3 linked regions of the Notamacropus eugenii genome follow. The protein of the gene in region 2 binds, or shares a complex with, the protein of the main gene of each other region. Links are inferred from orthologs where the notes say so. Each region holds a gene or a part of one and is shown on either strand. Other genes may lie near its edges.

Region 1 (9,381 bases), on a different chromosome or scaffold from region 2:
AGCTCACACAGCTCCCCTGGCCCTTGCCAAGGCACTTTCAGCACTCGTAAGAAGGAAGAAGGATCCCCTTGCCCTTTGGGTGGGGCCAAGATCTTGGCATAGTTAAGTCACCAGGATTAAAAAGAGTTCTTCTGGAAAGGGCTGGTAGAGCCTGTGGTACAGAGAGCCTCAGGCATCTTGGGAGTTGACTTCTGTGCCCTAAGGGGCCTCCCCAGAAGGCGCGCTCCCCAAGGCCAGCCTCTATCTGCTTCCATGAGCACTCTCCTCCTCCCAGCCCAGGCCCCATGGCCTGAGGTCTCTGTACCCCCCACCCACTCCCCCATTGGCCTGGAGGCCCCCTGCAGGAGGAGAGAAAAGGGCTCCTTTTGGGTATTTGCTTAGGCAAGGGAAGGCTACTTCATTATTCTCCTGCAAGCATTGAATCCGGTTTGGGGGGTTTTTTGGTAGCTGTTTTTTCCAGGAAACCCCCAGGCCCTGCAGTGGCCACTGGGAGAACCTGACTTCCCTTTTCTGAACTGGGTGGAGACCTCGGTTTGGCCACAGCTGTCCAACATCTGCCCCAGCCCTGCCCAGAAGGAGCTTTGTGCCTCACATCCTGGCCAGAGGGCGGTCTCTCCCAGAGGTCCTTGCTGACTGTGAGGCCCTGGCTCTCCTCTGGCCGGTCAATCCGCCTCCCCCAGGCTTCATTTCCCCCCTAGGCCAGGGCTGGCTGGGGTCTTTGTCAGGAAGAGCCGGGCAGGAAGGGGGAAGATAGGGAGGCTTTCTCAACATTTCTGGACAAAGCATGTGTCATGCCTCTTTTCTGGGCAAAGTGCCTCCAGATGAACCAAGGTCCCCCTCCCTGTTCCCCAGAAACCCCCAGCGAAGCTTCCTGTGGCTCCTGTTTTCCAACCACTCAGCAGATTCTCCCCTGCCCCCCCTAGCCCCAGACCAGCCTGAGGCGCCCCTCCTCAGGAAGGTGCTGACCCAGTTCTTTGAAGATTTCTTCCTTCTGCAAGCTCGGCAGCTCAGCAGGGTGAGCTCCAGGCCCTGGCCCCAGCTCCCCCTCCCCCAGGCAGCCCACCAGCTTCTGGCCAGGCGCTGACTCAGTGAGTGGAAAGGACCCCTGGGAACTCAAACTGAGCCTCCTCTTACAGAGAAGGAACCAGGCCCAGCACAGAGGAAGAGACTTTGTGCACTCCAGAAGCTGAGCCGAGTTCCATGTCCAGCCTTCTGTCCACACCCTCATTTACAGAGTAGAAATTGAGGCCTAGGGAAGAAAGGCAGATGGGCAGCAGCCAGAGGAACCTGAAGACAATTCCTCAGATTCCTGAGGCAGCTGGGTGGTACAGTGGGTAGGGAGATGGTCCTACAATCAGGAAGGCCTGAGTTGAAATGTGACCTTAGACACTTTCCAATGCTGTGACCTTGGGAAAAGCCCTGGGATAGTCAGGGAACAGTTTGACCAGGTCCCTGGCCTCAGAGAGTTTACTTCTCCTGCAGAGGAGCTGCCCAGGGAAAGGAAGGGGATGAAGCCTGAGAGGAGGAGGCCTCTGCCCTTCCCAAGGAGAAGGCTGGGTAAAGCAGCAGAGGAACTCAAGGACTTGTGTCCTTGCCAGGTAGCTGACACCCATGCCTCTAGCCTTTCCCAGCTCCAGTCCCTACTCAGCACTGTGCCTGAAAGCCTGGATTCAGGAATCATCTGTGGCTCCCTATGGCCTTCAGAGAAAAATGCAAACTCCCCTGTTTGACTTTGGAAGCCCTTGCCAGTCTGATTCCAATCTGGCCTTCCAGGCTTTTTTCACTCAAGTCCTCCCCATACCTGACATTCAGCCAAATTGGCACAGTCATCACTGAACATACAGGACATTGTGGGGTGTATGGGGTGTTCAGAGGGGACCAGCCTCCGTGGCATGAGGGCTACTGGGCACTTCTCAGGGCTGCTCATCCACCTTTGGTGTCCCCCTGACACCCAAATGTCACCTGTGGCTTCCAGGTGTGTGTGTGTGTGTGTGTGTGTGTGTGTGTGTGTGTGTGTGTGTGTGTGTGTGTGTGTGTGTGTACACAGTACGTATGGGGTGTTTAGGCAGGACAAGCCCCTCTGGGGTGAGGGCTGCTCATCTACCTTTGGTGTCCACCAGTGGCTCCCAGAAGCTGGAGCGTGTGTAGTGGTCACACCTGGTAAAATCATCTGGGCACATGGGCTAAACCAGGTTGAGGGAACTGAGGGGTCTCAAACCCATCCGTGAGTTAGGGGGTGTCTCCTCCAAGCAGGTGAAGTCTTCTCCCAGCAGAATGGGTAGATGAAAACAATTGGTTCCGCAGCCATGAAGGCGACTGAGGGGGGCGCCATGGAGTGCTTGGAGCCTTGTCAGGACTTTGTACCATCCTGTCTCACTTACATCCAATTCAGGAGCAGGGAAGACATCACCCCGTGAGGTCACTGGTCCTTATCCAAAGGAAGTTGGAACAACAGCAGGACATTGTGCCTTTGCAGGGCTGTCCCCTCGTCTCTTCCCTTGCTCATGGCTCCAGTCCATAGGAGGCCCTTCCTGGTCCATCCTTGACTGTCTGATTCTTGTCACCCATCCTGTGGAGGAAGCTTCAGGGGCTCCCTATCACCTCTAGGAGTAAAAATAAAACCCTCCACTTGGCTTTGAAAGTATTTCCTCCCCTAACTCGCCTTCCCCGCTTCCAGTCTTCTGACAACCTTATCCATGTACTTATCAGTTATTAAATAGGCAATCAACATTGATTAAGTGCCTACTATGTGCCATGCAGCATGCTCAGCACACAAAGCTAGCCAGCGACACTGGCCTCCTCACTGTTTCTTAAACAAGACCCTCCATTTCCGGACTACAGGTATTTGCCTTGCCTGTGCCACCTGCCTGGGTCTTTGCCTCCTGGCTCCTCTCATCAAGTTTCAGCTGGAACTGGCCTGTTGGTGCTTTCCTCGTTGCTTGAGTGTCTCAGATCCATCCAGTTTAGAGCTGGTTTGTACCTCACTCTGCATGTGGTCTCTCCATGATTAGCTCACAGTCCCTTGACAGCAGAGGCCATTCTGCCTTTCTTGGCATCCCTTGTGGTCTATATATACAGCTCCTGGCACATAGTAGGCACTTAAATGCTTGTTGACCTGACTAGACTCATCCTACTAGTTGCTGCCAATTTACAATCATGGGCACCAGCCTCTTCCTTTAGGAGAATGTCAGGTTCCTGCAAGTTGGGACTTTCATTCTGTCTTGGTTCTCCTAGCCTGTGGCACAGGGCTTGGCTCAGAGGGGGCAGTGAACACATGCATATTGGGTTGGCAGGACCTCTGTGTGAAATCTCTCTTGGGGGGAGACATTGCTGTTTAGCTATGGAGTAGGCGTTTAAGAAATGTTTATTGGCTGACAGATGGTCTGAACCCCAGCTTCCTGACTGAAGTCAAAGAGAGCAAAGTTAGCTCATTCCAGGCTAGGGGCACCACAGGGCATAGAATGCTGGACCTGGCCCTGGGTAGGTCACTTATCTTCTGCCTCCCTGCCTCAGTTTCTTCATCTGTAACATGAGCATCTATAGCACTTCTCTTGAAGGATCCACTGAGATATTTGCAAATGCTTTGCCAACCTTAAAGTCTTCATGATTAAAGCTGGGAAGCATGGGTGGAGCTAAATCATGGAGGGAGGAGAATGCCAGGGCCAGGGATTTCCGTTCTCTGTGGTAGGCCACAGAGAAGACCTGAAGGCTGTACCAGTGGTCTATGATGCCCTCATTCAGTTGGAGATGTAAGAGGTTAGAGGCCCACTGAAACTTCTCTAAGAGAGCTGAGAGAGGACTCATAGAGCCTGGGAGGCCTTGGCCCCTCTCCCCATGGACCACATTTTCCCAAGTCTCCATTTTGAGGAAGGTCCTGCCCAGCAGCCTCCTTCCTCCAGTCCTCTCTGTAGCTTGGGCACCTTCATCCGGCTCCCTCCTCCTCCCCTTGGAAGACAAGCTCCTTGGGGCAGCTAGCTGGTGCAGTGGCTAGAGCATAGGCCCTAGAGTCAGGAGGATCTGAGTTCAAATCTGCCTTCAAACCCTTGATGCCTCCTAACTGTGTGACCCTGGGCAAGTCAAATCTGACTGCCTTAAAAAAAAAAAAAAAAGGAACCTCCTTGAGGGGAGCTGCTATGTGTCTCTCACCTTGGATTTATACCCCTTGTGCTGTCAGTGCCCCAGTCATCTTAGCTGGAGGGCAGGAGTTTCTGGCTGGGTCACCATTGTGGAAGGCAATGAGCCTGTCCCATTAATGCAGGCCCCCCTCCCTTCTCTGCCCCAGGGGCTGCTGCCCCTTACGGGGCGTTGGACCTGTGCTCCCCAGACCTGACTCTGGGCCAGAGCCTGAACCTGGGCCTGGCTTGGCTATGTCCCCAGTGCCTGACACACAGGAAGCCTTCCTTCATGGTCTGTGCCTTGGCCTGAGCTCCTGCCCACTGGCCCAAGGGTGGCCCAAGGTGGCCAAGGGTGGCCAAGGGTGGCCCAAAATGGCCCAAGGTGGCCCAAGGTGGCCAAGGGTGGCCCAGGGTGGACCGGGCCAGAGGCCTTTGAAGTCCAAGGAGGGGAGTCTGTCCGAAGATTCACCGAAGCCTGGGGGCCGCTGAGTGCAGCCTGCATCTGGCTAGGATGCTGACAATAAGCTTAGCGAGTCCCACGCGCTTCCCTGCAAAGACAAGCTCGCACCCTGCTCTAAGGGCTGGCTGCCTCCTGAGACCAGCGCAGGCCGGCGCATGCGCCCTGACTCGCCGCTCCCCCGCCCGTCGGGCCCCCACGCTGCTTCCTCCGACCTGGAGGGGGCGCTCGCGAGCTCCCAAGGGCGCGGGCACGGCGTGCTGGCGCCCGTGTGCGTGCGTGCGGACACGCGCACGTCTGGGCGGGGCGAGCGTGACCGGGGGCGCGCGTGCTGCTGCTGCTCCAGCTCCTGCGGGGGAGAGACAGACTGAAGCAGAGGCGGCGGAGACCCGGAGGGAACCCCAGGCCGGAGCCGGAGCCGGGCCGGAGCCCCCGCCGCCATCATGCCGGCCGTGTCCAAGGGCGACGGGATGCGGGGCCTGGCCGTGTTCATCTCGGACATCCGCAACTGTGAGTGCGGGGGGGAAGGGGAGGGAGCCGGACTGCGTGTTCCCCCCCCCCCCCGGGCCCCCGCCCGAGCTGCGGCCACTGGGAAGGCCTGGGGACGGCCCGGCGCTGCTCCCCTCCCCCCGCGGTGCTCCCCTCCCCCCCGCGGTGCTCCCCTCCCCCCCGCGGTGCTCCCCTCCCCCCCGCGGTGCTCCCCTCCCCCCCCGCTGTGCTGCCCTCCCCCCCCCGCTGTGCTCCCCTCCCCCCGCTGTGCTGCCCTCCCCCCCCCCCCGCTGTGCTGCCCTCCCCCCCCCGCTGTGCTGCCCTCCCCCCGCGGTGCTCCCCTCCCCCCCGCGGTGCTGCCCTCCCCCCCCGCTGTGCTCCCCTCCCCCCCGCGGTGCTGCCCTCCCCCCGCGGTGCTCCCTTCCCCCCCGCGGTGCTCCCCTCCCCCCCCCGCTGTGCTCCCCTCCCCCCCGCTGTGCTCCCCTCCCCCCCCCCCCGCGGTGCTCCCCTCCCCCCGCTGTGCTCCCCTCCCCCCCGCTGTGCTGCCCTCCCCCCCGCGGTGCTCCCCACCTCCCCGCGGTGCTCCAGCTCGGGCGGGGCCAGGCCCGGGCGTCCCCCCGGGGGGAGTGGGGGGGCATCCAGGGCCGGCCGCGGCCTCCCGCCCCTCCCGCCAGCCCCCCTCCCCCCGCCCGGGGTTCCTGGGGCCCCGGGCCCTCCGGACGCGGAGAGGGGGCAGTGACAGGTCTGTGTGGCTCATTCATTTCAATTGCTTAGGAGGGAGGCCTCAGTTTCCCACCTCCCCGAAGCCTCGGACCCAGCCCCCCTGCGGGCTGGGATTGTGTTGGGGGTCCCTGCCTGGACATCCGGCCGCCCTTGGCCAAGAACGGGGAGCCGCTCCCCAATGGGGGGGTGCCGAGCTCCGGGCTGGCCTTGACCCGCGGAGCTGTCCCCGGGCCGGCCCAAGGCAGCCGGCCGCCGCCGATCCCGGGCCAGGGAGGTCCTGGCCATTGTCCAGCACCCCGGAGCCTTCCTGCGATGCCCAGGGCCCGGGCACGCCCCCTGGGCCGTCGCTGCCTTTGGAGGATTCGGGGATCAGGGGCAGACCTCATTTCCTTATTCTTGAAAACCGAGACACACCCTCCAGATGCCAGGCTGGGGGGTCTCTGTGGCTCAGCCCCCTCCAAAGCCCGGCCAGCTTCCCTCCCGCAGCCCTAATTACACCTGTGCGTTGTAAGCTCCCCAGGGCTGAGCTTCCGCGGGCGCCTGGGGCATATCCCCTGTGCCCCCTCACCTGGGGGCTGCTGAGTGCACCCAGCTGGCCTTCTCACATCAGCACACAGAGGGAGGACTGTATTCACTGGGTCTGCCTGGTGATTGGTTCCTTGTCAATGATCATGTACCGTGGCCCTCCTTCAGGGAAGCTCTGGCCTCATTTGGCTGGAGGTTCCCTAGTTTGGAGTCTCTGTGCCCCCCCTCCCCATTCCTGCCACATGAGGAATTCCTGTCATTGTTCTTCCTGAGGTCTAGCCTAGATGGTCTGTGTGCCCTGTGTATCCCCTGAGGGTCTGAGTGCCCCCCCCAAGCTCTGTATGCCCTGTGTATCCCCTGAGGGTCTGAGTGCCTCCCCACCCCAAGCTCTGTATGCCCTGTGTGGCTTGTGTGGCACCTGAGGGTCTGAGTGCCTCCCCCCCAAGCTCTGTGCGCCTGTGTGCCCTCTGAGGGTCTGTGTGCCCCTTGTGGGGCTGAGTGCCCTGTGACCTTCCCTTTCCTCTTTGTCTTCCCTTACATTTCTGCAGTCCAAGCTATCCATTTAGTTAGGAGATGACCAGATATTGGACCTACCTTCTCTTCCCCCCAAAAAGAGACCAGTTGGTTTTTTTTTTTGAATGAATGAATGAATGAACGAAAAAGCATTTGAATGCTTAGTGTGTGTGCAGTGTGTTTTGTTCTTTCTAATGGAAGAAACATCATGCACTGGACAATTTCCACTCTGAGCTGGAGAGAGGGTCCTCACGTTCTTTAGGGTGCAGAGGGCTGTCTTTAGGGTCCTTTCCAACAAGAAAACCAAAGCAGCCTCTCCTGTTGAACCCCTCAATAAGGAGGTTGTGTCAGCATTCTGTGGCAGGCATGTGTAGACATGGGCTTAGAAATCAAAGTTTTTGGGAGTCTAAAGGCCCCTTAATCAGAGTAGCCAGGATCACCAGGCTCCCCAAATAGGTCCAGGTGAAAACATTTTGGGCCTGATGTGGGCAGTGAGTCTTGAGATGGCCCAGTAACATTCAGAGTGCTTTGTCGGACCTCTTTTGCCAGATTCTCAGAGTTTGGAAGCTTTGTCAGAGCTGATGCCTTCAAAGCAATAGGGCGCCTGGACTGGTGAGCAGCGGCTCTGAAGCTGGCAGGGTCCTGTTGCCCCTTGTGTCTGGGGCAGGAATACCCTGACTCATTTTCCCATATTGGTCTTGGAACTCTGGGTGTTTGGGGTGAAGCTAGAGACTCAGCTTTTTAAAAAGGAGGATCACTTGGATTATTTTGCGAGTTTACGGAAGCTTGGCCACTGGTCACTCTGGGGTGCTTAATGTCTCTTTGGGAAATGAGTGAATGGCCGCACTTGAGAGTTCCTCTGGCAGAGAGTGGCAGGCTGGCAGGGAGGGGAGGAGCTTTTCAAGGAAAGATGGTGTTTTCTTACCTTTCTTACCTTTCAGCCTCACGTGAAGCCTGCCAAGGGCAGCCATTATTAGGTTGGGGTCCAGATGAGGTTCCCCTTTGATCTCAGGCTTCAGGGATGGCAGGCTCCCCATCTTTTTGGTCATACCCATTCCTCCCTGCCACCACTCCACAGACACACACACAGACACACACAGACACAGACACACACAGACACACAGAGACACAGAGACACAGACACAGAGACACACACACACACACACACACACACACATTCCTCCCTGCCACCACTCCACAGACACACACACAGACACACACAGACACAGACACACACAGACACACAGAGACACAGAGACACACACACAGAGACACACACACACACACACACACACACACACACACACACACGATGGTCTGGAAGTTCTTAGAATCCGCCTTGCTCCAGGTCACACCTGCACAGCCTGGGGCCCCACCACTGTCTCCCTTGATGACCTCATCATCTCCCTCGGGGTCAGTTCTCAGTCTCTGTGCACATGATTTTCAGGGCTAAACTCCCAGACCTTTTGTTTCTCCCAATTCTACCCTGATTGCCTGCTGCACGTCCTGTCCACATTCCGTACTTCTCAAACAGCTTGTCACCCATTCTGCTGACAGTCACCTGAGGTGCCCCTCACTCTCACCCTCCATGGAAGGACCCTTGGGCCTTGCCTTGGCCCTGCAGCTGAACTGCTGGCTTCAATTCTTGCTTTGAATATTTGTGTCATCAGCCCTGGAGGGGAGGGGGCTAGGCACTGTGCTGATCCTCATAGAACTTCTGTTAAGGGCTCATTTTACAGTTGAAGAAACTGAGGCAGGCATCAATGACTTTCCTAAGCCCCCTAGCTATCGTGGTAAACACTTAGTAAGTCCTTTTCTATTTGCTCCATACCTCTCCTAGGTGTCCCTTCTCTGCTCGTGTAGCTACCCCTCTGGCCTGGGCTGTCATTAGCAGCAGCCTTTTGCCACCCTTTCCCCCATGACTTTTTCCTCCTGGGTCAGTCCTCAGTTGCCCCTGCCTGCCTTTCCAGCTTCTGCGCTTCCTAGCCTTCCCTGCCTTGGAACTGCCCTGGCTTCTTTGAGGCTCTGGAGCTGTGGGTGCCTTCCCTTCTCAGATGACCTGATCCGACTGGGAACTCCTTGAGGGCAAGCATGGTCTTAGCCTTTTTTTGTGCCTTCAGCGCTTTGTAGCATGCGCAGCACATGACAGGTGCTTACTAAATGCTTGTGGACTAAATGATTAGATTGTTGGGGGCACATTGAGTTTGAGATGATTATGGTCTGTCCATTTGGAGGTTGGAGTTTGGAGCTCAGGAGAGAGGGGGGCGGTGGTCGTTTGGAAGGGCAGGTCAGAGGTGCTGAGAGAGAAGGGTGCCACGGCCAGAGCCTTGGGACATGCCCCATCCCCATGGGCTCCATCACATAATCATCCCCTGCAGGAGGGCCTCCTGGAGGGGAGGGGCTCTATAGGGTCCCTGGCACTGTTGGTCTCAGAATGAGTGCTTGGTGGGGTCTGGGTGCTTGGTGCTGCTCTCCCAGCCATGCTGGCCAGGTCCTTGGGCTACCAGGGTGATCCCAAGGCTTCTGTGAGTCTGGCTCTGCTGAATTCTTCAGGTGACT
Region 2 (9,491 bases):
GAACACGTCTTTTTATGTCCAGGGCTGGCACTATATCCACTGCGCCATCTAGCTGCCCAAGAGGGAGCTAGTGGAGTTTATTTGTGGTGTGTGTGTGTGTTTGTCCTTGGTTGCCAAAGAAGACCATGCCATCAGAGAAATAATGACATGACTTGCACTTGACTTTGTTTTGCATGAGGGAGGGATGTGCAGGTCACCAGCCTCACTTCTCCTCCAGAGCCATCTGAATCCATGAGGATAGAAAGGAGCATCATAAAGAAAAGACTAAATATTCATCAGGATAACTGGAGATGACCCTGGATGAAGCAGTTAGGGTTAAGTGACTTGCCCAGGGTCACACAGCTAGTGAGTGTCCTGTGTCTGAGGCGAGATTTGAACTCAGGTCCTCCTAACTCCTGCATTGGTGCTCTATCCACTGCACCACCTAGCTGCCCCGAGTTTATTTATTGAGTATGGAAGTGAAATGATCAGACCTATGCTTTAAGAATAATCAATTTCACAGCTGTGTGGAGGATGGATTAAAAGATAATAGAAGGAACCAAGTAAGAGACTATTGCAATAATCCACATGAGAGGTAATGAAGACCTGAACTAGGGTGACATTTGTCTAAATTGAGAAAAGAGAACAGATGGAAGAGATGTTGTGGAGACAGAATAGACAAGATCTAGCAAGATATATAAGTGAAGGGTTGCAGTCACAAAGCTAAATAGAAAATAGAAGGACAGCAGGGCCCTGAAGAGATAAAGTTTAGAAGGTTTACAGGTAGAAAATTAAGAAGTTTGATTTGGACATGTTGATTTTGAGCTAACTATGAAACATCCACTTTAAAACACCCAAAAGTCATTTCATGATGTGTGCCTGGAACTGAGGAGAGTGACTAGAAACATATATCTGAGAGTCACAGAGAGGACTGCTGAGTTATGTGACCTAATAAGATCACCAAGTTCAGAATTACAGAATAAAAGGATTTGAAGAACCTTCAATGGCCATATGGTCTAAAAGAATCCCCACTACTCAACAAGTGGTCAGCTTTTAAGCCTTTGATTAAAGACCTTCAAGGAGAGGGAAATTACTACCTCTCAAGGCAGCTCATTCCATTTCTGGACAGCTCTAATTGTTGAAAAATTTTCACAATCTCAAGCTGAAATCTGCCTCTTTCCAACCTCTACCCACACAGCTCCTAGTTCTTTCCTCTGGGGACAAATAGAACACATGACTACCCCTCAAATACTTGAACACATGCCTTCCTGAGTCTTCTTTTCTCCAGGGAAAACTGGTCCAGTTCTTTCAACTGATTCTCATTTGTCATAAACTGAAGAGTTCCTTCACCATCCTGATTGCCCTCTTTTGCTCACTTTGCAGCTTACAATGCCCTTCTTAACCCATGGTGCCCAGAACTGGACACAATATTCCAGATGAAGTCTGACAAAAACAGAGTACAGTGGGATTCATTCATCTTAATGTATATCTGGAGTAGGAATGATTGATAAGACAATGAGTTGAGACCAGAAATGAATGGATGGCACTTGAGTAACTGTATAGTCTTTACAAGAAACCCAAAATACTCCCCAGGACAAAAATGCATCATTTTTAACACACTCTCTCATAAGGCTAAATGGTTTGTTTCAAATCTCAAAACACCACAACATCTAAAAAGTCAAAGTTGCAAGTAATTCAAAGGGCAATGAAGAATTGCATGATGGACACAAGAAGCCTGTTCCCAACCATGAAATGTACAAGGCAAAAAGAACATCCAAAAAAATTCTACTTAAAAAAGGTGGAAGGACAATTAGACAAAACCACAAGTTTAGAAATTCTGCACGTTACATTACAATTTCTTTCCTTTGGCAAAAAAGAAACTGATTGATGCCACCATTAAATAGTAGATACCAAAAGTTTTCCTATTTTAACAACATACCAAAATGTCCTTGGGAAAAAAAATCTGCCACAGTTCCAACGGACTGAATACAATAGCTATCGTAACTAATTTGTTTCCTAAAAAGCAAAAATTTATTTTCACTAAAAAAAGAACAGCTGAATCAGGACAAAAGTACTCACAGGAAATATAATCTATAAAGTTGTCTCCTAATTCAAAGGCAAACAGAACTAAAGGCACAGGAAGATGATCCCACATTGGCTTCCTTTTCCTGAGGGTTCCAACTACATTTTCTTGTTTAATTGGCCATGTCCTTCTCTAGGTAAGAGACACGGCAATTGCTCCTTCAGTTGGAATCATAAAACTATGCATGTGGAAAGTGAAAAAAGGAGCAACAGACAGGAAAATCAAGAGAACACAAATACAAACACGCACTATTGGTGATGACCTTATCAAGCCAGGAGACACGAAAATTATTCTTTCTGTTCACAACATAAAACTGTGTGCAGAGGGAAAGGAGGGAAACTGGGAAAGGAAAAGCAACAGAGATGAGAAACCAAACCCATACACGCCTCTCTGGTGGTTCCAGAGAGGGAGATCACAGCAAGAGAATGGATATTAAAACAGGATCCGTGTCCTTCAGTGACACTGGTTTTTGCGAAACCCAGATAAGGATGAGCCAGGGAGAAAAGACTGAAAAACCTATGCCAGTGAGCAGTGAGTAGCTTTGCCAAGAAAACTGGGAAGGTTATGGCTTGGATTATCAAACCCCACCATGACTAGTGGAGGGGTGGGGGGAAGGGGAAGGCTCGTCCGGGAAGGATCCAGCGCCCCCAGCCCCGCAACACGCAGGGGGCGGGGTGGAGAAGAGGGAAGATAAGAGAAGAGGGTTGCTCTTTTCCCAGCCAGGTGTTGAGGCCCGATCAACCTGAAGCCCGATCCTTAAGACACCAAAATCACCCAACAAATCACCCTCGCCCGCCAGGGACTCCTAACTGCAAATCACCGCCAAGGTCTCTTCCTTCCAGGGGCTCCTCTGGGGCCCCGAACGCGCGGAGCCCACCCCTCACTCCGGCCCTGCCCGCCTCGGCGGCGACGAAGGACGACGAGAGAGAGAGAAGGGCAGGGCGCGGGGGAGCCCGGGCTCCGGGGATGGGCAGAGGCGCTGGGGGCCAAAGGCGGCCAGGGGGGTCGCTGCCCAAGTCTCCACCCGGGCGGCCGTGGCTCCCCGACCCGGCCCCGTCACCTCCCAGGGAGATCTCTCTCCCCACACACACACGCGCGCACACACACACACACACACACACACACACACACACAGGCCCCCCCCCCCCCCAGACACACACGCACACACACGCACGCACACACCCGCCGCCTCCACAGCTCCGCGATCCCGTCCTTTCTCTGCTCCTGCCCCCTCCCCCCACGGCCTCAGCCCACCGCCAGCTCGCCTTTCCCCCACCTCATCTCCGGGCGGGATCTGCGCGGTCCCAGGGAGAAATCAGTGCCGGGCACACGCCCCGGGGAGGGATGAAGACGCCGCCGCCGCACCGCACACCATCCCCTCCAGTCCGGGAGCTCTCTCGGGATTCTCCCTTCCGAGCCGCCGTACTCTGGAGCACCCAACTCTATCTATCTATCTATCTATCTATCTATCTATCTATCTATCTATCTATCTATCTATCTATCTATCTATCATCTATCTATCTATCAATCCATCATCTATCTTTCACCCTTCCCTTCAGTCTCGCGCGCTCTCCCCTCCTCCGCCTCGGTCTCTTTCTCTAAACCCCCACTCTACCCCCCAGTCCCGCTTGCACTCTCTCTACCTTGCTCCCCGCCCACAGATGTGGGGGGAAGGGAAGCAACCTCTCAATCCCGAGACTATGGCCCCTCCTACCTCCCGGGAAGGAGGACTCGGACGGTGGGCCGGGCAGGGAGAGGCGGGGAGTGAGAGGGGCGGACTTTTGCACGCCCCGCCTACCCCGGGAAAGGAGGAGGGAAATAATGACATCCAAATGGACCAATAGGAGCTCGGATTTGGAAGTTGGGGGGGTGGGCTCCGCGGCCAGAAGGGAGGGAGGGTTGATGTTAGGAACTGGGCGGGCTGGCATGGGTTGGGCTTTTCGGTGTAATCATTGCACAATCTCGGCCTTTTCACCTTATGTGATGCTGTCACATGCTACGTGGTGCCAGACTGAGTCTCTCTCTATGCTCCGTCACGGTAGCTATTAAATATATTTAGCTGGAAGGGACAGAAAAACCGCCATCGCCCAAAGGCAAGAAGGGCCTGGGGCTCAAGGGAGGGGCGGGGGATTAAGAAGGGCGTCTCCTTGACGACTCACTCAATTTGCATGAAATGGTCGCCTGAATCATGAGACCACAATGCCCAACATGCTTTCGTGAGCAAAGTCCTTCCCTCGCTTGCCGTGGCTCCTGGTGAAGCATGCTGGGAGACGTAGTCTCTTTTAGTTACCGTAGCGCTTTCCTTCCCACGCTACAAGCTGTAGCTGATAGACAGAGGGTATAGGGCCAATGGGGGCAAAGTGTTGGGTTTAGGGGCGGGCTTTAAAACGGAATGACCCGGGACTGAAGAGGACGTGGGGAGTGTGGGTTCCCAATTCTACTCAGGTATGTATCTTCAGCCACCTTACAGTCCTCCTTTCTGGCATGAGGAGGAAGTAGGTTACCGGGCTCGTGACGCGGCGTGGAGACTTTTGGGGAGGGAGGACGGCGGCCCGAAGCCGTTGACCGCCACGGCCCTAGTCCAGTGTTTGGGCCCCGACAGAGCGGACGCGAGTGACGAATTGGCGTTTACGGCAGATTTTTTCTCGATTTCGAACTAGAAAAGATCTGGGAGACCATTTAGTGCATGCACACATGCACACCCCTTACGGACGAGGAAACAGAGCCGGGGGAGTTAGGAGGCCCCATCTTGTTTGGTTTCCCCTTTTCCGCGGAAGAAAGCCTGGTGTATTTTCGGTTTGGACCTTGTCCGCTAGGGGGCGCGGTGGATCGTGTTGTCCCTGGCCTCGGGAGGACCTGAATTCCAATTCTACCTCCCACGTTTTCTGGCCTTGGGACCACCCGGGGCAAACGCCTTCGCCTCCGGTTTCTCAGCTCTAAAATGGGAATCGCCATAGCACCTTCCTCCCTGGGTGGTTGTGAGAATCGAATCAATCAGATATTTGTAAAGCATTTGGCCCCGTGCCTGGCATATAGTAAGTACTTAATAATGTGGGGGGGTTTTCCCTTCAACTTTTGTTTGCTTGTGATTCGAATAAAATTGAATTAACTTTTTTTCACCCTCTGTGGTCAATTGGCAGTATGTTGTTAGTATGGCATCTTAAATAGGTCCCCTTATCTCTTTGAGTCTCAGTTTCTTAGACAAAGGGATCGAGCTGTAAATGTTCCCGCAATGGGTGATTCTTTTTTATTGCCTCCTTGACTTAGGTTGTGTGACGTTTGAGAGCTTTTTTTTTTTTGCAGTCATCATTAACCAAAAGTCACAGGACCCCTATATAGCCTTGTTGTAGAGTGTATTATAATGGTCTAATACTGGGGGTGGGGGGGTTCCAGTCCTCACTTGTGATCTTTGTGTACAGAATTCTCTTTGTGAAAACTTTCCCAACTGATAGAGACGTCAGTCTTCTTCCTCAGTCTTGAAAGTTGGTTGGGGGAGTAAGGAAACAACTATTTATATTAGGTGATTACGCTATGCCAGGCACTGTGCATATTATCATCGAATATGAGGCTGGATTTGAATTCAGATCTTTCTCCCTCCAAGCCTAGCACCCTTATCCACTGCATCACCTGGTTGCCTTGCTGCTGGGAGCATTAAGAATTTAAGTGACAATCCTCATCCAATCACAGTTACTATGTATCAATTCTCTGTATATTTTAGAAATGAGACTTTTGTCAGAAACATTGTTTCCCAGCTTTCTGCTTTCCTTCTAATCTCGATTGCTTTGACTTTGTGCAAAAACTTTTTCATCTAATGTAATCAAAATTATCCATTTTGCATTTCATAATGTTTTCTATCTTGTTTGGTCATAAATTCTTCCCTTCTCTGTAGATCTGATAGATAAACTATTCCTTGCTCTCTTAATTTGCTTATGGTATCACCCTTTATGTCCAAATCATCGTACTTAGTGTGTGTACAGAGGCACTAACCACTGACTTTAGAATTTTCCTTGACCAGAGAGGTTTGTTGCCCGTCAGTGTTGACTTTGTTGGATATGTGGTTCTTTTGTCTCTAGTGTTTTTGTTTTGTGCCACTTCATGCCCCTCTGCTGGTGTTTGTCTGAATTGTTTTTGTATTTTTCTTTCCTTACCTCTTAGTAGTGCACTATTCCTTATCATCCCTATTTTTTATGCCATATTTGTTAGGTTTTACTTGATTGTTTAACGTATACATTGTTTCCAGTATTTTATTAGAAAAATAATACTTTGAGAAAAGGTTTTATGCATGGGGCCTTTAGTTTCCATCACTACCCCTGGAGTACCAATCTGAGTCAAGGGGTATTCACAATTAGGTAACTTTTCTAGCATAATTCTAAATTATTTTCAAGAATAGTTGAACGCCTTTACAGCTCTACCAACAGTGAAATAAGCATACCATTTTCCTACAGTTCTTTTAACAATATATTTTCCAGTCATTTAGCAGCTCAGAAATCAGTTTTTGAAGACCCGTATATTATGCAATAAGACTACTCACTATATAAGCCTAAACAGTCTGGCGCACAAGATTTTCATCCTGAGATTTCCTTTACCTCATTTACAGTTATGCTTAATTTCTCCTTACATATATGTATTCATCACCCAATTTCTGCTATAGACAAGTATTTCTGATCTTTAGCTTACAAAATGAGAGCTAGAGGTATGGACAAAGTATTATGCTAAAAATGGAAACTGTGGCATAAACCTGGTCAGCAGTGTTCTTTGTAAAAAACTGGACTGCCTCTAGTTTAAAGTACAATCATTTATATAATTTTGCCACTTTCTTCTGGAGTCAGATACTATGTAGGAAAATATACTTGAGAAACTGATAAAACTGTTCCACTCATAATCAGAAATAGACTAGATTTATTTTTACTAGGTGTTTATTGCTTTGAATAGCAAAAAAAGTATATAAAAATTCTTAAACTAATACTTGGCTGCAAATTAGAAAGTCTAGAGTGCAAATTCTGCCTCAGCTTACTCACTATATTACCTTAGGCAAGTCACTTAACTTCCATGAACCTGTTTCCCCAAATATAAAATTGGTATAATAATAGTGCCTACTACACTGGGTTTATATAAATCTCAGATTTTACTTGGTAATGCTGAATTACCAGTTTAGTAGTGAATCTGTAATTCAATAATTGTGTGATAGCAAACACCTTCTTTCCCCCTTTGAACTGTACATATGGATTTCAAAGATGTTATTAGACTCAAAAATTCCATCTGTTCAGTGAACATTTTTATCCAAAGAAAAAGAATTTTCTTGGGAAAGAAATAATTTAAATACAAACAAGTCAGAGTATGAGCATGTGGCATGTGAATTATTTTCAGTTTTCATTAATTATAAAAATATTTATTTGACCATTTTTACCTACTGAAAGTTTTTCATTCCTTTGTAAATATTTTGTCATTCTTATAACTCATTTTTGCAACCCAAACAAGAGAATTAAATTATTTCCTCTTACAGTAAGCTAAGAATTAAAATCAGAAGTCTTGAACCACATCCATGTTAGATGCTTCTGGGAGATTGAAAAGGTTTATTAGCTTTGCTTTGATAACGCTGATGAATCTATGATTTCATTGAAACAGGTATTCTAACAGTACAAATTGCAGCCCATCTGTAACCTCTCAGCCTATGCTACTCTTGTCTGTGACCGTCCATAAATTCTCCTTAGAAAAGAACCAAGCATTCTGGGGACTTTCTTCTCTTTCTCTTGATACTTCATGAATACCAGTACAGCACTGGAGCTGGTCAGTTAATATCCTTCATTATATGGACCCATCTCTTTTTCCAGTTAGACACCTTTTGGATGATCTCCTTCATGCCATTTCTTAAGAATGGCCTTCATTGGCATGTAAAGTTTACTCGTACTCCCCTTGTGCCTGTACATTTCCTTTGGGTAACCCCAAATTTTAATTCTTCAGAGACTTTAGTATCCCATGACTCAACGCTGCTGTATAGCATCAACAGAAAATTAGTGGTATTAAAAAGATGCTGTTCTCTGAAATATTAAAAGCCCTGAACAGTTCTTCAAAGGCAGTCCAACTAGCACCTCCAATTCAGTTCTGGACCCAATTCATTGTCCTTCTGCATTGTTTGCCCAAAATATATGCACTAATGAACCAGTTTAACAGGTGGTCCATTATTGTAGTCTGAATAATAAGCATTTTTTGTACACTTAGTCTCTCAATATGAATAATTAAGTCAAACTCTTGAACACTTATAGATCTCCTAAATGAAATGTATAATGTCATAAATACTAAATTCCTACCAATTACTACAATGCCCTTCACAAACAGGAACACCTGTTAAACTTCACTGTCTACGTAGAATCCCTCTTGCATTTGGACTTTGTGGGATGTCCTTCATGAGAGTGGCAAAGACTTTTAGAAAGCATATGTCTCAAAAAAAAAGCTGCCTCCCTATTTTATACACATGCCTTTATGTTAATAATCAGGTAGTTGCTATACAAAGTTATTACACACTTCGAAGAAGCTTGTGTGATTTAGACAGTAATTGGTTGAATGGAGAACCTTAAAAGTAATGTTTTTGCTCTAATGAATCAAATGCTTTTTAATAGACGACACACTCTTAGTCCTATTCTTTTATGCAGTTGTGTGAAAAAAGCTGTGGTATGCTATAGCAAATGCATGCCTGTTTCCTCATACTTTCTGTAGAAAAATTTGTGTAGAGCCCCTATGGGGAAGTATGGGCAGTAGTATTGACATTTTCTTGGTTGCCTTTTTGAGGATAATAATAGTAAGGCCTGAAGTTTTGCCCCAAGAGTTTGGTACCTTCCATTCTTTCAGCTCTCAATACTCCTAAAATTGTGTCAGACCTTGTGTGTCCTTGATCTAGGCCAGATAGGCTTCATATCTTGGTTTTCTTTAGTGCCAGAATTGAGTCAGAGAAAGGAATTAGGCTGGATTTAAGAAACTGTGTAATACTTTTTCAAAGATCTTGAGCTGCTTGCTCCCGCAAAAACATCCTTTTAACACCATTAGTGTCTAAATGATGTGTGTGGCTATAAATCACAGAACACCATTATCTCCAAATGACAACATTTGCAGATGAAACAAAATTCAATGGTAATACAAAGGGTATTTGTAAGTAGGCAGTAGAATATTACCAGTGATGATTTGCCCTAGCCAGGTAATATAAAACATCATAAAATGTGTGTGTGTGTAGAGTATATACATACACATACATACATACATACATATTCATACACACACACACACACACACTCCCTCTGAAAAAAAAGAAGCAGATCAGCCTTAAGAAAAAGTCAACAGTTGGACATCCTGAGTGCTCCGCTGATACCCGTAAAATATTAAAAGTAGCAAAGGAAGCCCTCCAAAACATGGAACAGATCCTCCATGGAAGATTTAC
Region 3 (10,240 bases), about 290 Mb from region 2:
GCATCATAGGAACAAAGAGTTAGAGGTAAAAGGGAACTTACAAACAATTTGAGTCCAATCCCCTAGGAGTAGGAAGAGGAGAATCCTAAGAATGATAGTAAGAGTAATAATAGCTAGCATTTATATAGCTTTAAAGTTTGCAAAATGGTTTACAAATATTATTTCATTTGATAATAGCAAACATTTACATTGTGTGCCAGGCACTGTTCTAAGCACTATCTCATTTCATGCTCACAACAGCCCTGAAAGGTAGATGCTATTATTATCCCCATTTTATAGATGAGGAAACTGAGGCAAATGGGCTAAGTTAACTTGGCCAGGGTCCCAGAGCTAGCAAGCGTCTCAAGTCAGATCTGAATTCAGCTACTTAGAAGAGGAAACTGAAGCTGAGAGGTTAAATGATTTAGGCCCAGGGTCATCCAGCCAATAACTACCTGCCCAGTAAGTATATGAAACCAGAATGAACTCAAGTCTTCCTGATTTCAATTTTACTGTACCACCTAGCTCCCTCTTTTTATAGCCTTAACACCACCACCAAGGCTCTATCTCTTCATCTATAAAGTGGTGATAGTACTACTTAGAGAATCTACATCACAGGATTGCTGTATGGATCAAATAAGATAAGGTATTTTGTACATTTTAAGGAGCTACATAAATGTCAGCTATTTTCATGTAACCCCTTAATATAAATATTTTTCATTTTTTATACTAATACACAACCTTCATCTATTCTACTGTCAGTTGAGACTTCTAATAAAGTTTCTAAAATATTAATACAAAAAATACTCTCTCTTTTGGTACAGTCACCACTCCCTCTAAAGTTATCTAATTCCACAATGTTGCAAGGCATCCATCCCATTAACTGCAATGTTACCTTGACCATGAACATAGGGAATCTTCAACGATAAAATTCATCTAACACTTTCAATTTCCCTCTTGGATTAAGCATTCCAGGATCTGAAGCCAGATAGGTCTGGGTTTTTTTGATCAAGTTCCAGTGAATAATTTTTAACAACATTTACTTTCTGTTGATTCCAAAGACAGTTATCAGCAATCCCTGAAAGTGCCCACTTTGGTGTACAATGATTTTTGAGAATTCAACAGTTTAATAGGATTAAAGACAACAGAGTAGCTGTCTTTAAACATATATCTCAGGCATTCAGCTGAGAGACCATTTAAAATTAGAATCACTGTTATGATGCTTGACTTTCGTTTGATTTCTTCACAACTGCATTTATACACTGTAGCCTTCCCCCACTGGAGAGAAGAAAAGGGTTGTATTGTGCTTGCTTCAGTTATAATTTCCAGCTGTGTCAAAGCTCCAGCAGCCGAAAAGCAGGAAATCCAAGAGGAAATTCCATCATCAGTTCCTGGGGTTTTGTAACTCAAATGTTCTTCTAAAAGGGAGATATTACAGGATTTTTAAAGGTGTTTGCTGTGACCTTACCTCATATCTTCAAGTAAATCACATTCTGCCTGATGTTTGGCCTGAAGTTTTGTCATCTGTTCAACCTGAATATTTTTCAGTTCCTGTGTAACTTTCACCTAAAATATACCAGAAAATGATGAAGATAAGACCGACTGTAATGTGAACAAAACAAAAAATACTAAATTTTAAAATTATATGCCCATCTACCAGTTCACTAATTGTCTATCTTAGCATCTCCATAAAATAAAATGTTTTATGAACAAACTAGCCAAACAGGCGAAAATACTGGTTTAACTAAAGGGTAAATGACCAATCTCATTTAAAAGATATCAAGCTGGGCAAGTTGGATCATCATTTGAGCAACCAGGCACCCATGTTCTCTTATTGTTATCTAAAAGAATTTATCTTCTTTTTCTCCAAACATAAGCAAATATGCCCATCCATGCTGTGGGGGAGGGGGGAAGGAGGGGAAATGAAGCGAAGCTGTCCTCCCTCACATATATAACCTCTAATAAACTCTAGTTACACAATCACGAAATGGGCATCGATTAAATAAATTATTCCATAATGGCTGCATGGAACAAAATCCTGAGAATGATACACTCATCTCATTGACAGCCCACACAATCACAATCACTCACTCATAAAAGAGAATACACACTAACTCACAGAGGGAAGGGTAACCATTTAGCAAGGAGAGTGAACTAGTATCCTGATAACTTTAGCAGTTTACTTCAAACGGTGTGTTGTTTTTTTTCTGGTGAGCTGGGGCTTGTTTGTTTGTTTTTAGTTGGAGGAGGGTGTCAGAATATTTCAGTGACTTGAAGCCTATGCTGTTGGGATAAAAATCTGTCTAGCACTATGAGAGCTATTACCCAGCTACATTGGAGTGTGTGTGTGTGTGTGTGTGTGTGTGTGTGTGTGTGTGTGTGTGTGTGTGTGTGTGTGTGTGTGTGTGTGTGTGTGTGTCTCTGTGTGTGTGTCAGACATTCCCAGAAAACAAGGGCCGAATCTGTTAAACAAACCCGGATTTAAATAAAAATGAAATAAAACAGGAAGAACACACTAGTGGAATTTGACATTAAGCAAATGTTTAGCTTCAGAAAATAAACAGTCCCACTCTAAAAGGCTAAAGGTGGCCTGGGGTTACTTAGAGTGAAAGGATGGTTGTTTGTGATGGGAGAAAAGGTGGTGTACACAAACCTGACACAACTCCTTCCCTCTTCCTATACTGGGCACTCAGTCCTATTGCTTCACTCATCCGGCCCTACACTAGAAACATAACCTCAGCTGAATACACAACTTCCCCACCCCACCCCCATCTTAGCGATAGCGGGGGACTCAGACTGAAGCACCTTGCCCAAACGGCAGGTAGGGCTATTTAGAAACATGGAGCTTTATGGAATACGGAAAGGTGGCACCTCATTTTCCTAGCAGGGAACTAGAGGTCACCTAGTACAACTCCCTCATTTTACAGACGAAGGAAACTGAGGGCCAGAAAAGGGAAGGGACTTTTCCAAGACAACGTTACTAGTGAGTTAGTGTCAAGGGCGAGATTGAGACCCAGCTCTTTGCACTCCACCACGACTGCTCACTTGGGAAAGCTCGATAAACCTTCCTGGGGAGGGGGCGGGGGGGGGGGGAGAAGGTGAGGAGAAAAGGGGTGTGCCCATTTCAACTTCTCCCCTCTGGCTCCCAGAGGAAAACCAGGCCCAGGCGAGGAGCGGAGAACACAACCAAATCCTGCAAAATGGGGGGCGGCGGGAGCGGAGGGCGAAGCCTTGGTGCAGACTAAACAATAATACACACACTGAGTCGCACAGGCTCTGCAGAACTGCAGGGGCTTGCTCGGTTCCCAAGCTCGCTGTGCCTCTGTGCAAGCCCGAGAATGCACTTTGCAACCGGAATCCACTCTCCCGGCGCGCACCGCACACACACACACACACACACACACACACACACACACACACACACACACACACATATACATACATACACACACACACCACACACTCACACATCCATACAACTCCTTCTGCAAACCGCGCAGGCTTCCACCTCATTCCCAAAGAGAGGGAGCGGGTGAGGGCGGAGGGAAGGTGGGCCTCGGGGGGCCTGGGGTGGCAGCTGGGCGAGGAGAGAGACCCACAAGCGTCCCCTCACCCCCCAGCACCCCGGCTCCGCATCCCGGGCTGCGGCGCCCAGAGAAGCCGCGAGTGCCTGGGCTGCTGCGGGAGGAGCAGATCCCGCCCGGGGCGGGGAGAAGCAGTCTTTCTCCTTGGCAGCTCGCAGCAGCTGCGGAGCCCCCCGCGTGCTCCCGCCCCCCGCCCGGCCTCAGCCGCAGCCCCGCCGGCTCGCTCACCTTCCTCGGCGGCGGCTGCATGATGCTGGAGGGACATGAATCCTCTCCCGGCGGCGGCGGCGACGGCAGTAGCAGCAGCAGCAGGAGAGCGGGGACGGAAAGGGGGAGAAGAGGAGGGGGTCGGGCCGGACCCTGCCCGGGAGTGTGCGGGTATGCAGCTTTCCCGGGCAGCCCCAGGAGAAGGAGACCCAGGGGAGGGCTGGCTGGGCCCGGTGCGTGTGTGTCTCCCAGTGTGTCTGTCTCTGTGTGCAAGGTTTCCCTGGCGGCCGCAGGAGGAGGAGACCTGGGGAGGGCTGGGCTGGACCCCGGGCTGTGCGTGTGTGCGCGCGTGTGTGTGCCAGAGAGCGAGCTCCCGAGGAGGCGGGGACCCCGCGCGGGGCGGGGGGCTGGACTCTGTGAGCGACTGGGAGGGGCGGGGGGCTGGCTCTCCCCAGGAGCAGGGGAAGGAGGAACCCCGGGAGAGGGCAAAGAGGGACCAGGGATCTCTGTGGCCGAAAAGAGGCGAGAATTACGCGTGGGGTGGGGATGGGGGGCAGACTCCAGGAGTAGGGAGGAAGGCAGGGGCTCAGGCCCTGCCCGAGGGAGTGTCTACTACTGGGGATACGAGTGGGCTTTGAGAAGGGGAGGAGGACTCTGGGGAAAGTGGGTCAGGGGAAAAGTCTGCAGTTTCCCCCTTCTTCCGGGAAAGAACAGGAAAGGGTTAGTGCTCTCAGGCCTGAGGAAGAGCGGGTCCGGTTCCCTCCATCAGGAGAAGAGAGGAATTTCTAGTCCCTCGAATCCGGTGGAGCGAGAGAAAAGATCTAGTACTATGAGAACACTTGATTTGGGATCAGGTGGACCCGAATTCAAATTCTGTTTCCTCCTACGTTATCTTGTCCAATGACTTATCTCTCTTGGGCCTTCCTTATCTTCCAAATAAGGGGCGCAACCTCCCAGGTCCCTTCTGGCCCTAAACCTTATGAGCCTGTGAACTCATTAGGATACTTTGTAATCTCTTCAGGTCTAATACTCTCTGGTCAGAGGAAGAAAAGAGGGAGGGAGCAGAGCCGAGGGAGAGAAAGGAGTGGTCCCGTTGTCTTAGGTCAGAAGAGAAGGGGTCGAGTCAGAGAAGAGGGCCAGGTTTGGTCTGTCTAGATCTAGGAAGGGGAAGAGAAGACTTGGTCCCCTCAGAAGGGGCAGGACCGGCCCTCTCAAGTCAGAGGAGAGTAGAAGGGCTGAGGTGGGTCCCCCACCCCAGTTAGACAAGACCAAGACCGAGTCCCCTGGCCCAGAGGAGGGAAGGGGGCTGGTTTGGTCCCCTGGGCCAGAGAAGGGGGCTAGTCTGATCCCCAGGGGTGGTTAAAGGATAGATCTGGTCCTCTCGAGTCAGAGGAAGTGGGCAGGTCCAATTCCCTTCGGTCAGGGGGGTTCCCTAGGGCCAGAGGAGGGGGCAGGTCCGATCCTCTCCAATCAGAGGAGGAGGGGACAGTTAAGAGCCATAGATCAGAGGTGGGGGGCAGTTCTGGTCCCCTCAGGTCAGAGGTGCGGGGCAGGTCCGAGCTTCTCCAGTCAGAGAAGGGGCAGGTCCCAAGGGGCCGGGTCTAGGGCGGGGCCTCCGGGAGGGTGGTGGCTTAGCCTGGCGCTCTAGGCGAAAGGGGTGGCCTTCTCGCCCCTACTCGGGGCCCGAGGCAGGGGCGGAGCCCGCAGGCCCGCTGCCTGGGCCGGCGCCGACGCTCCTCCTCTTCCCGCCGCCCCTCCGCCCCGCCGGGCCGCCGGGCAGAGGCGGTGCCCCCGAGCTGGCCTGGCCCCTCCCTCCGTAGTGAAGGCCTCGCGACGCCCCTTCGCTCCTTTCAGGGGCGGGGCCTCCGCCGCCATAGAGCAGGCGCCTAGACTTCCCCTTGGAACAGCCGGACTTGAGGAACAAGTGGCGGGGGGGTGATGCCAACAGGACTAAAGTGGAAACGGATGGAGCCGCGGACAGAAGGAGAGGACCCCCCCCCACCATAAATTGGAGTGTGGAACGTTCCAAACACTCCCCTCAGCCTCCCTCTTATGCACAAGGGACGCTTTACATGCGCCTTCCCGCCAGTTCGAGGCGCGCGCAGGCTCCAGGAGGCTTTCCACTTCCAGATCTCCACCCCCACCCCTAACACGCCTCCACGCCGGAGGGTGGGAGGGAAAGCTATGCTAATACACGTACGCACTATAAGCCCCGCCCCTTCCTCTTTCCTCTCCCTCCTCCTCCTTCAGCTCGAGTGCAGCTGCGCGTGCGCGGCGCTGGCTCGCTCGCGTGTGAGGCTGGGGTTGGGGCCGCTCGGAGCAACGCGTGCGCCTGAGGAGGCAGGTACCCCAGCCGGGCACGCGGAGCAGGCTGGGTTTGCTCCGTTGGACTCCTCCTTTCTTGTACATTTCCACCCCCCCTCCCTAGTTTCGTTCTGGTACTCTAGGACGCTGACCCCCACCGTGCGTCCGCCAGGCGGCCGCGTGCTTTCGAGGGGAGGGGCGCCCAGCGCTGCTGCTTCTGATCGGGGGGAGGGGCAGTTCTCCTCCGGACGAAGGAGAGGTCATCCCGAGCTGTCATGAGAAATTTCCCTGAACCCTTTTGCTCTTTAACCGTGGCCCATTTGGTTCATCTGCCACTGCCTCTCGGATCAAATACCAGCCCGTCTGTTTTACATTTAAAGTACTAAACCCCTAGACTTTATGATCATCTCTCATCTCCACTCCTTTGCACAGGCTGAGCCCCATCCCTGGAATTCCCTCACTGCTTCCCGTCTCTGCTTACAGAGACATTTCACAATTAATAGTTTATTTCTAAACATAGGTGAAACACCATCACTTACCTGAGACCTTTCCTGATCCGGGCACCTCTGCCCCCCAAAACTCACACACACACACACACACACACACACACACACCTTTCTTCCCAAGGTGTTATTCAGTCTTGTCTGACACTTGGTGATCCCATTTGGGGTTTTCTTGGCAGAGATACCGAAGGAGTTTGCGTTTCCTTCTCCAGGTCATTTTACAGATGAAGAAACTGAGGCAAACAGTATTAATAAGTGACTTGCCCAGGTTTACACAGCTTTAGTATCTGAAGCCAGATTTGAACTCATGGAGAAGGCCCAGGAACTCTATACACTATGCCACCTAGCTGGCCCTCCTCAACGTACCAGCCTTTCATTTTCAGTATACTTAACCATGGTGTCCCAAAGGTTTTAATGCAATTTTAAGCTTTAATAGCTCCAAGCATGAATAGCTGAAAACTGCACTAAGATTTTTGGGACACCCTTTATGTTTGTGCGTTGTCTCCTCTTCCCTCCCTCTCCTCTACCCCACTGAAGGTAAGCTCCTTTGAGAACAGAGGCTGAGGAAGAAAAGCTCTTTCCTAGAAGAGGGGCTTTGCATTTCTAGGAATCCTAATTGAAATAAGATTTGGAACTCTGTCCCACAGGTATAACAACCTTATCCCCTCCTCTCACCTCCCTTCTGTTGTTTCCTTTTCTTCCCCTCCCCTGGCCTCTCCTGCCCTCTCGTCTCTCTCTCTCACACACAGAGACTGTCAGAGCTGGAACAGACTTTGGAACATGAGTGTCAGCTTTTAGGCCACAGATTTTAGAATGTAGAATGTCGGATCACACTGACCTAGGCCAGAGTTGGGGGATGGGGATGGGCTCAAGTCCTTCCACTTCTCAACCTTTCATTTACCCCCAAGAAGGTGTTCCAGTACCCTTTCTCTTTGTCATTTACACTCCACAGCTTTCGTGGATAGCAAACCTAGCCACAATCCCCACAGATCTAGCATGGGAAGAAACACGTGGTATATGCTCAGGTTATTATGGGGAGGAAATGGAAATGCCTTAATGTGTCCCAAAAGCATTAGAACAACCTCTTTCCTGTGTGATAAAGTGGAAAGAGCCTTGTACTTCAACTTGTCAGCAAGCATTTAGTAAGTCCTTACTGTGTGCCAGGTGCTGTGCTAAGCCCTAAGGATACAAATACAAAAGTCAGACAGCTGCTGCCTTCATGGAGTTTGAACTTTCTGCTGCAAGGATACCCCTTGTTCACAGATGAGTGAGTAGAGGGAGCATAAGGTATGGAGGCACTGATAATTCCATATCACAATTCCTGAATTCAAGTCAAAGCTCCGCTTCTTACTAGTTGTATGATAATGGACCAATTTTTTTTCCTGAACCTCAGTTTCCTCTTCTGTAAAATGAGAATCAAAATCCTTGTGCCACCTACCCCCACAGGGTTATTAATAATAACTCATTTCTATAAAGTACTTCGTAGCCACTCTGCAAAATGGGTAAGTTTTATAAAGTCAATAAGATAGTAAATGTGTTAAGCACCTACTATGTTCTAGAGACTGTGCTGAGCTTATTATTTTTTGTATTACCGTTGGGAAAATGGATGACCAGAAAAGTGAACTGATGTGCCCAGGTTACAACCTAGTAAATCGAGGAATTAGGGCATCAACTCAATTTCCTGCCACTCAACTCATTGTCCCTTGCTGTTTTTCAACAGTAAAATATTAAAGAAGCGTACATTTCTCCCTCCTGCCCCCAAAAAAGTTTCAGAGTTCTTCACTTGGAAATTCTGTCTCTTTCTGTTCATCTTCCAGTTTTCAAACTAGCTGCATCCACCTCCTTCCCTAAAAGGAACATCTATAGCTATCCCATTTCTCAGGTATTTCTGCTGGTTATGCTGTTTCTTTCCCCTGCATAGTGTCTCTTCTGAGACTATTAAGTGTCACCGAGTGCAGGGCCAGGCCCATGGTAAGGGCTTGTGGATTGATTGATTTTAAAGACAAGGTAGCTATTAGGGCTTTGTGCACTGCTGTGCCCTGGGGATGCTACAGAGGGTTCTGTCCACTGATTGTTGCTTGTTTTGACAGGTTAAGAAATACCTTTCTCTGCCATTTACAGAACTTCAAGGCTAGAAGGAAGCATAGGATATTAGAGCCAGAAGGGACTTTACAGATCATGTGGTCTTACAGATGTGACTCAGAGGTTACATGACTTACCCAAGGTCACTTGGGCAGCAGAGTCAGAAACGTGACCCAGTCGCTCTTTTGTTATTCTTACCTTACACCAGAGGTATCAAACCCATGGAGGAACATGTCAGTGGGAAATATTTAACACAATAAAAATACATGAAATAATCCATATGATACATATGATAATAGGTGGTTTTCTAAGTTATTATATTGCTATGAAGATCCTTTTTTAAGGTTTAAAGGCCCCAGTTTCTATTTAGGTTTGATACCACTCCCATATATAATATTACCTCTTCTAATCTATACCCAAGTAGATATATCATCATACACTTTCCACTTGAAGACCTAGCTATATAATAATAATCCATTTATATAGTGCTTTAAGGCTTACAAAGCTAACATTCTGTGTTCTAATGTCCCTCCCACCTCTGATGTCCTATGTTCTAAGATACCTTTGAACTATCACACATCCATTTCTATCTCATTCACACTTGAGCCAGCCCCTCCCCTCCCTGAAACAGCCTAAAGTGAGACAATATTAATCTTGGGTCCCAAGATCACTAATCTCTCTTGGCCTCAGAATTTTTATCTTTAAAAGCAGAGGGTTGAACTAGCTCCCCTCAGGACCCTTCTAGCTCAAGATACATGATCCTCCTTCCTTCATGCAGACGACTCCTCAATTTAGATCTCCATCCTTGACTTCTCCTGCTGCCCAGACTTTCATCTCCAACTGCCTCCAGGAGCCAAGGATGTCTCACTGACACCTCCATTAACCCCTCTGTAACTGAGCTTCTTCCCTTTCCCCCTAAACCTCCTTTCTATAATCCCTCTGATAGGACTTATTTCCCTTTTGCTTCTCATACTCACTGTGGTATAATGGAAAAAGCATGCTAGACTTGGAGACAAAAAAAGACTTGAGTTCCAATCTAGTCTCAAAAACTATCCATGAAACCTTGGACAAGTTGTGACCTCTGAATCTCAGTTTTGTCAGCTGTATAATACCTCACCAAGCGAATGAAAATATATATGTAAATATATATGTTAAAATATGTAAAGAATTTTGCAAATTTTAAATGGTATGTAAATGTCATTATCATCTGGTTTGTTTAGTGTGTCACCAAGTCCTATCTCTTCTATCTTCAGAACACCTTTTGAACCCTCCCCTGCCATTATCATACCACCATGATTACTGACAGCCTGAAATATTAAGTCTTCTTCCATCCTTTACTCTTTCTTTCCTAAATGTGTTCTTGGTATGACTAGCAGGATTAGCTTTCCTCGGTTCCAGAACTGTTCCAGAGCCCATCCAGGATGGTTGAGGCACAGGGAAGAGTGGCCACCATCAGGGGCATCCTACATTTCTTTCTTCTTTACCCAGGCTACTTGACTGCTCACAAGGTTTAGAAGAGACAGGAGTCAGCAACTCCCTTCCTTTTGAAGGGATGGAAGACCTCTAGGCCTTCCCATCTGA

Evidence for each region.
Region 1: the proteins of ITSN1 (region 2) and AP2A2 are in contact, whole or in part, in a crystal structure (PDB 3HS8), measured with the Mus musculus proteins. The link is inferred for Notamacropus eugenii from reciprocal best matches to the Homo sapiens genes ITSN1 and AP2A2. Residues at the interface, in NP_034717.2 of Mus musculus: Asn841, Trp843, Ala844, Phe846, Ser847, Ser848; in XP_006536218.1 of Mus musculus: Glu308, Gly320, Val321, Glu324, Gln329, Gly331, Leu332, Lys333, Phe346, Gly348, Asn349, Lys350, Gly386, Ala387, Gln388.
Region 3: the proteins of ITSN1 (region 2) and FCHSD2 are in contact, whole or in part, in a crystal structure (PDB 6GBU), measured with the Homo sapiens proteins. The link is inferred for Notamacropus eugenii from reciprocal best matches to the Homo sapiens genes ITSN1 and FCHSD2. Residues at the interface, in NP_003015.2 of Homo sapiens: Pro1076, Ile1078, Gly1098, Leu1100, Leu1102, Gln1117, Ala1118, Arg1119, Gly1120, Lys1121, Lys1122, Arg1123, Leu1136, Ser1137, Pro1138; in NP_055639.2 of Homo sapiens: Tyr576, Gln581, Thr582, Asp584, Glu585, Gln602, Asp603, Asp604, Asp605, Gly606, Phe607, Val618, Pro620, Val622, Leu623.

What each region holds. Positions count from the first base shown.
Region 1 is NC_092873.1:27,297,738-27,307,118, reverse strand, and holds the start of AP2A2 (AP-2 complex subunit alpha-2), read left to right. Parts: upstream 1-4,866; 5' UTR 4,867-5,015; coding exon 5,016-5,082; intron 5,083-9,381. UniProt on the Homo sapiens protein: Component of the adaptor protein complex 2 (AP-2). Adaptor protein complexes function in protein transport via transport vesicles in different membrane traffic pathways.
Region 2 is NC_092876.1:425,620,477-425,629,967, forward strand, and holds the start of ITSN1 (intersectin-1), read right to left. Parts: upstream 4,169-9,491; 5' UTR 4,038-4,168; intron 4,017-4,037; exon of another isoform or gene 3,339-4,016; intron 1-3,338. UniProt on the Homo sapiens protein: Adapter protein that provides a link between the endocytic membrane traffic and the actin assembly machinery. Acts as a guanine nucleotide exchange factor (GEF) for CDC42, and thereby stimulates actin nucleation mediated by WASL and the ARP2/3 complex.
Region 3 is NC_092876.1:132,594,118-132,604,357, reverse strand, and holds the start of FCHSD2 (F-BAR and double SH3 domains protein 2), read right to left. Parts: upstream 4,364-10,240; 5' UTR 3,813-4,363; coding exon 3,792-3,812; intron 1,546-3,791; coding exon 1,448-1,545; intron 1-1,447. UniProt on the Homo sapiens protein: Adapter protein that plays a role in endocytosis via clathrin-coated pits. Contributes to the internalization of cell surface receptors, such as integrin ITGB1 and transferrin receptor.